Nothobranchius furzeri: one gene and its partner. The protein of the gene in region 2 purifies or fractionates together with the protein of the main gene of each other region. This does not show direct contact. Links are inferred from orthologs where the notes say so. Each region holds a gene or a part of one and is shown on either strand. Other genes may lie near its edges.

Region 1 (3,920 bases), on a different chromosome or scaffold from region 2:
ACCTCAAAGAGGCATCCATCTGGCCTTTAACCCAGAGGTGATCAAATCTCTTCTAAGGCAACCACATCTACTGAAGGCCCAAATTACACATTTGTGTACATTTACAATAAGAAATTCTAATCTGGTAATCTTAATCCAAGGATCAGAGCTGTCCTACACGGCGTCTTCACATCGGGGCATCTCAACTGGATGACACGTTCCTGCCGTCAGTCATGGAGGTCGGGTCAGAGAGGCCCATACTACTGGTGCTGGAGGTGAGGGGTGTGTGAACAGTGTGCAGACAGTGTAAACTGTGTGAAAGACAGAGGCGGGGGCAGAACTGTGAATGCGGCATAAGATCACATAGAGCTTGCCATCCCATCCCTCAGTCCGAACACTACTGAGCGTCCTCTCAGTACGGGATGAGTGGGTTCAGGCCGGGTCAGGACCAGGCGGGATACACAGGCGCCCAGTCCTGATGAGCACTAGGACTGAGCTGAGAATGGAGTTGGGCTGGAGTTGTTGTGGTTGGAGGACTTGACGATGGTGATGACGCTGGTGGTGGCCACCTTGCCCGGTGACATCGGCCCTCGGGTCACAGTCCTGGCGAAGCACTGCAAGGCCTCATACTTGGCCCGCAGTGCGTCCAGCTCCAGCCTCATGCTGGCGTTCTCCCGAGCCAGCTTGTCCACCTCCTGCTGCAGCTCTATCTTTTGTCTCTCGAGCTCCTCTTTCTGGGTGACACGTTTGATGCGACAGCTAGCAGCGTAGCCGCGGTTCTTTAGGGTCCTTCGACGCTGCTTCAACCGTACAACATCCTCCTTAGTGAGCCCGCGGAGGTGCTGGTTGAGCTCCCGCACAGACATGGCCACCAGCTCGTCGTCGCTGAGCGCCGGGGCATTCTCACCCACCTCCTTCTTGACCTGCAAGATGTGAGGAGTGGATGAGCTTCATGTGCAAACGACTAGAAGATATCTCTGAAACTTCACACGCTTACCTTTAAAGCTTTGCTCGGCTTAAAAGGAGTCGTCATTCCCTGCATGCAGAAAACTGACCAGAATCTCCCAGAAGCTGCTCTGAGGATAGGAGAGAAAAACTAAGTACCACGTTACATGTGATGAAACACTGGCTCAGATGTTGCTACGGTTACTAGATCTCAGCTCCATAGGTTTGCTGATGTTTTTATGTCACTGAACATAGAGAGATGTCTTGTAGGAAAAATATAAACCACCTTGCAGACAGTTCATTTCAGTATGTTTAGATCCAGATGGAAACTTTTAGAATTACAGTCTTAAAACACCTTCTTCAGCAGATTAAAATGGAATTGGACAAAGGTAAATCAAAGATTCATTATTCTGAGCTCCGACCCACATGTGTCCGTCAGACATCTTTAGCTGTTTTGTGAATATTTTTGCAGCAGGTCTCAGGCTGCTGTGACTCAAAAGACCCTGAGTTGCTTGCACAGCTTGTTTCATGTGAATGTAACTGAGTAAATATAACAATTTTAACAGGGTTTTAGATCATGACTGATTGAGTTTGTTAGGGTTCCGTTTTTTCTTTCAAAATGACGATGCTCAGAGGTGTCATTCTTTAGAAATGGTAAATGGCCTATATTTGTAAAGCACCTTCTAAGGTTCTACAACCCCACATGGTTCTTCACAACACAATAAGTCATTCACCCAGCCCTAGAAGTCTGCCAGAGGAGAAAGTTGCTTCAGACGGCAGGATTTGGAGTCTTAATTCCTGATATTCGGACATCTAATCTCTGATTGGCCAACGGCAACTTAAGTCCACCACTGACTCCATTTGCTCTGCAACACTGATATGCAATCAAACAACACAGGCCTGAAGGAGTTCTGCCGTGTGGTGGTTGCTAATGCTAACGGTTAGCTTCTATTAGACAAAACATTCTCTGCTGTTTCCTGGACGCTAATCCAACAACAGCACTCCCCGTTGTGAGTCAAGATGAGTCCATGAATGTTAAATGACAGCATTAGCATTTTTCTCTGTTTCCTATCAGAAGCTAATACAGGACATGGGGGTAGAAGACTATTTTCATGTTCAGCCTGCATTTTCAACTCAGAGTGACCGATCATTTTCAAAATAGATAAAAAGATTTTAAAAAAATAGTGTTTCTCAGTGAACTTGCTCTTTAAAAAATGGCTAAATGTCAGTACTAATCCGTTTTATTGTACTGGTATTCATAATTGCTTCTTCCATGTCAGTCTTTGACCGGTGGAGGCTCCAGTTCAGAGAGAAACAATGAGTAAGGTTGAGATGGCTTTATTGAAACACCATGTCACCTGAACCCAGAAACAACCAATCTCCCTCTCTACAACAGCTTGCTGCCTTTATAACATCTGTGATTACTGGAAGAGACCAAGAAAAGGGTAATCAGAAAACAAAAACCAAACAATATTTACATACACCTAACACCAAATACATTAAAATGGTACCAGTAAATCTTTACATAAATACAATTCATTAAACTTAAACAAATCTAAAGTCAATCAACCAAGCAAACTTAATTTAACATAACTTCTCTAAGCCTCACCCCTCCTTCTCTAAATGGTAGGCTCCAAGAGCTTTTCAGCAGCACTTTGGGTTTGCATCTCTCTTTGCTGCCCTGCCCTGTTAAGGAGACAAACCAGGAAGAGGTGAGTGTATACTTTCAAATCATATCTTAAGGATTAACTCATAATTTAAGCAAACACAGTAATTAAATATAACTGACATTCTTACTCCATTCCTAATAGGAAGGATGGCCAATCCCTCCGGCTTCCAGGAATGCCCCGACACAATCAAAGAACCAAAAAACAAACAATTTATCTTTGACGCAATCCTACATAACATAATACCAATAATCGCATTCCTTTTCAGTGATGGAACCTCTGGTCTCCTATCACATCTAAAACAGATCAGCAAAAACAGCACTGACACTGACGTTCCTCTGTCCAAGGCTTACGTCATGCACATGATATCAGTATTTTGGCTTGCTTTGTGCCACAGGTGCCAGAAGATGGCAGTAGGACACAATAAAACCCTAACAGAACAGTGGTCACATACAAGCAGAAAGGAGTAACCTTTCTCCCCGTTTACTTTGTGCTTTAACGAGTTGGTGTTAGGCCGTTCTGTGCTCATCATCGTACATCCCCATGGGGGAACACACTTCACTTGCTGCTGCTGGGGCTCAATAAATAAATAAAACAGGCTAAGCTGTGATCCAAACATCCCCTAAGGCTCCATTTCAGAACCTGCAGACCGGCTCAACTCAGAGTGCACTGTTCCATGCGCCACAGCTACCATGGCAACACCCTGCAGATGGGCGTGGGAGCATGAGTCACATGGTCACTAAAAGGGTAAACATGTCTCATTCATAACCACAGCACAGCCCATAAATAGTACCAAAAACAACTATACCAGGAACCTTATGTCTTTAAAGCTTTTGCTGATTTAATCTATGAATTGGAGCCTGCTTGTATCTCTGTGGAGGGTTTGATCCTCTAAGTTGATGTCTCACTGCTCTACTTCCTCATCACACATCAGAATAACATTTACAGTTACGTTGAACTCGCGGGTGGAAAATTCCAGGCTGTGCAGTGTCACAGGGAAATAGTTTCCTTTATAGTCACTGATGTATTTTTACTGTTAGACAATGTAGTCTATCGATTTAAGGCCGTCTCTCTCTGGCTGGATCCTCTTACGCTGGGCTTTCCTGAGCTGCTCGATGCCCTTATTTAACTCCGCCGGATATATTTAGCTCCCACTGCTGACACAAATTTCTGCCAACTGAACAGTTTAGGTGCGTATGCGATAAGTGATACATCAGCGTTGTGAGCTGCTGGCTTCATGGAAGACGCTAGGAGTGACAGTCCAATTTGGGACGGCAATCATGATTTTAAAATTTAGCCGTCACTTTTTACGACGGCCACCGTGCAATG
Region 2 (3,920 bases):
TGGCCGCCCGTCGTCAAATTACAATAGTGGGTGCTGCAGTGTTAGCTGTCAGGAGACAGGACACCCCCACCCTCACTGATGGTAAACAGTAGTTACGTCCCTCCTTCCTTTGTTTTAGGAGAAAAACCGACAGTCCAGCAGCCAGCTGGATATGAAGCATGTTACATATAACCTTCCTTCCTAAGCGACTAGTTTGTGGGGTTTACTTTATTATTTGGAAGGATACCAACTTTTATATCTATATGTATGATTGCCTGAACCCAACAACAACAACAATGATGATAATAATAATATCATCATGGCCCCCCAGACTCTGGACCTCTCTCCCCCTGAGCCTGAGATCAGAGGACTCAGTGGTCTCCTTTAAAAAGCAGCTGAAGACTCACTTGTTCAGGCTTTGGTGTGACCTTCATCACCTCTCTCTCCTCATTCCACTGGTTTCCCTCTTTCCTATTTATTTATTTTCTCCCTTCCTTTCCTACATTTTTAAATCACAATTTTTATTTTTTTCTCATTTTAAACATATTTTTAAACATTTATTGAAATCTTTTTTATACTTTAATTTGTTTTGTTTTTGTGAAGCACCTCCTGATTTTTATCTTGAGAGGCACAACAGAAAATATTGTTTTCTTTCTTTCTTTAATACTAATAATATTAACAACAACAATAATAATGATAATAATAAATGTTATTGTTTTTACTGCCAATGTTTTGAGGCAGAAATTTAGTTTGATGAACATTTTATTTTTAAAAAAACTACGTTTTTGAACATTTTGTACTTTCCAATCCAATCCAATGTTATTTATAGAGCGCATTCACAAGGCATTACAACCAAACAAGGCGCTGTACACTAAAAATGTTAGTTAATTAAACAGGTAAAAAAAAAGTTTATACAAACATGTCGAACACAGATAAAAGATAAAAAGGAAATACAACAAAATTCCCAAAACAAACAGCAAAAATAAATAAAACACAGGGAGAATAAAAAATTAGAAAAATAAATAAAAGAAAAATCAAGTGCAGACATTTCTTATATTAATCAAAATCCAGAAGATCGTAAATTAAAACCCAGTTTTCCTGAATACCGTGCATGCCAAAAACAGGAATGTGCAAGTGCAATGGTGCTAGTACTAGTATAATTCTCCTTGGTGCTGCTAGTAGTACTATAGTAGTACTAGTTTTCATCGTTGAGCTCTGATTCAGAAAAATGAAGCTCATTCTCGCCTCGTCTCCACTTCTCCTCTCAGGTTGTGAAAAGTGCCTCGTGTCATCGCGGTCCCGCCGCGAGCACCGGGGAGGAGCACCGGGAGGATCTGTGGGGAGGGGGGAGGGATTTGAGCTAACGGGTCTGCGGTCCCATTCTCGAAGCTCCGCTGCGCCAATTCCGCGGCGCACACGCGCGCCTCCCCCCTACTGTAACGCAAGGCAGCGCGCGCCTACGATGTTGTGAATGAGGGAATGAGGTGACGTCAGCGGCCGAATGTCAACAATGTAGCGACTGAGAGTAGGCGTTCCAGTCGAGTGTAACAAACAACGGAGACGGAGCGGCACGCCGCGCGGGAGCACGGCGCACACTCACACACATCCACACGCGCGCGCTCGCGCACGTTCATGACACACGCTGTTTTGTATTTTTATACCGTTAAAAGCGAGAAGAATAATCCGGGACGTGATTGGTCTGTATGCGCCGAGAGGCTCCGAGGAGACGGCGGAGCGGGTCATCATGTGAAAGAAGTTCTGTTGGACCGACGGGCTGGAACACACGAACCAGAAAGCAGAAGGTAAGCAGCCTGCGCGGCCACTGCCCACACCGGGACCCGCCTGGGTCCGCCGTGTCCCAGTTTTACTGTCAAACTGGAGCAGAACCGCGGCTGGACCGAACCACCAGGTCCCCGCTGGTTCTGGAAGGAGTCAGATAGAGAGAGAAGCACGAGTGAGAAACCGCACGCTTGGTGCGAATATTACTATATTACTGAGTGTGTGTGCGCGCGCGCGTGGGTGTGTAGGGGTGTGAACGCGGGTTCAGGAGTGAAACACAACTCCACCACATCCTGTTGTGCTTTGAGTCAACGCGGCGCGCGCTGCCTTTTCCTCAGTTTGTTCAGGTTTCGGTGCTGCAGGAATCCCGAACAGCGCGGTCTTTAAACGCATCACTCGGTCTTTAAACGCATCACTCAGGCATTAACCACAGTCTGTTTTGTTCAGACTGCACCATTCTCCTCTTTGTTTTGGCTTCATGTTCTACTCTGGGTGGGAGCACACACACACACACACACACACACACACACACACGGCTCCATATTTGCTGCGTAAGCTGGGTTGGTTCCGATGGTCCAGGTCGGTTCCGTCACAGATCCGTACGTGAGCGTCGGTGTAAATCAGCTGCGAGTCAAACAGCGGCGTCATGTGAGTGATGCTGCAGTGAGGCTTAGTCACCCCCACCCCCACCCCAAGGTGGACGGTGTGTGTGTGTGTGTGTGTGTGTGTGTGTGTGTGTGTGTGTGTGTGTGCGTGTGCGTGTGCGTGTGCGTGTGTGTGTGTGTGTGTGTGTGTGTGTGTGTGTGTGTGTGCGTGTGTGTGTGTGGCAGTGCAGATTTTGATTTATTCAGGATGAATGATGTTCCCTCCGCTCAGACTAATTGTAGCTGCTGCCGTCTTTGTTCACTACATCACAGAATGAGGAGCTGCGTGCACGCTCGCGCGTGAGAGATGCCATGCTAATGACGTGAAGGCAGCATTCTGCTATCTGATCTTCCTCTCATCTGAGATGATGAAGAGGAGTGATGCTGCAGTGAGGCAGCAGTCTGAGGAGCGGTGACACCCTCAGCATCCCGCAGCATCCTTTGTCTCCCACAATGCTGATGCAACGGAAGGGGGGGGGGGGGGGTAAGGGGGCCCGCACCCCCCACCCCCGCGGTCCCGGTCCTCCCCCCGGAGCCTGATGAGGACGTTTCTAATCGTTGTTGTTTAAAAAGATAGCTGACGTAAACATCACATCTTCACTGACTCCGCACGGCTTCACAGCACGTGCGTGGAGGCTGCAGACATGCGCAGTGTCACCCACGGAGCCCTTTGTTCTGCACGCGCTCCCGTTCCGAGCATCTCTCCTGTTTATTGTGAGGAATCAGGGTTTTGGGGGAGGGGTCGGATGGAGCCGCAGTGACTCAGGCTTTAACCCGCAGCTCCACGGGAGCATGGCCTGGATCGTTGTTCTGATAACAACAATTATTATTATTATTATTATTATTATTATTATTATTATTATTATTATTATTATTATTATTATCAGAAGCTTTGGTGGCCCGCTGTAGTCACGAGGTTCTGGTCCTATTGGGCTCTAGGATGGAGATAAAAGCACCATGCACCACTGCTACGTAGGTTATTACATCCTTGCATTTTCTAAGTTCTGAATAGCTGTCCACTGTGACCTCTGGGGTTAAAGGTCATAGGTAAAATCCTGTGAATGGAAAAGAAAATCTGCAAATGACCTGTTCATGAAACATCCTCTAAAAGGTTATTGTAGAATCAAACAAGGTGCATCAGACTTTAGTCGGACACAAAGGAGCGTGTTGCAGAGGTGTTGCATCACGGTTTCTGATTGGTTCTTCTGCCTCCGTGGCTGCAGGAGCTGGAGCTTCAGCACCAAACGGGGGAAAATGAGAAGAATCTTTCTGAACATTCCCTTCACACCTATGGATTTTTATGTTTCTGTGGTGTTTTGTGTGATGATGGAGGTGAGAGCCAACATGTAACGGATGTGTGTGGACGCTGGGTCAGAGGGGAGATGAGTGGAAGTCATCAGTCCTACGGCCGACAGGCGGAGTTTCCTACAAACGCACACGAGTGAGACAGAATCACTAATCATTCATTAATAGAGGATCAGTGCTTATGGATGAAAGACTGACCAGCAAGAGATGATC

What was found.
Region 1: the proteins of bach2b (region 2) and mafk purify together in Homo sapiens (co-immunoprecipitation; 3 studies listed by BioGRID and IntAct, with this or other methods). This does not show direct contact. The link is inferred for Nothobranchius furzeri from reciprocal best matches to the Homo sapiens genes BACH2 and MAFK.

Annotation. Positions count from the first base shown.
Region 1 is NC_091745.1:5,294,558-5,298,477, reverse strand, and holds the end of mafk (transcription factor MafK), read right to left. Parts: intron 2,611-3,920; exon of another isoform or gene 2,534-2,610; intron 1,056-2,533; coding exon 977-1,055; intron 903-976; coding exon 465-902; 3' UTR 234-464; downstream 1-233. UniProt on the Homo sapiens protein: Since they lack a putative transactivation domain, the small Mafs behave as transcriptional repressors when they dimerize among themselves.
Region 2 is NC_091743.1:91,361,436-91,365,355, forward strand, and holds the start of bach2b (transcription regulator protein BACH2), read left to right. Parts: upstream 1-1,561; 5' UTR 1,562-1,781; intron 1,782-3,920. UniProt on the Homo sapiens protein: Transcriptional regulator that acts as a repressor or activator. Binds to Maf recognition elements (MARE). Plays an important role in coordinating transcription activation and repression by MAFK.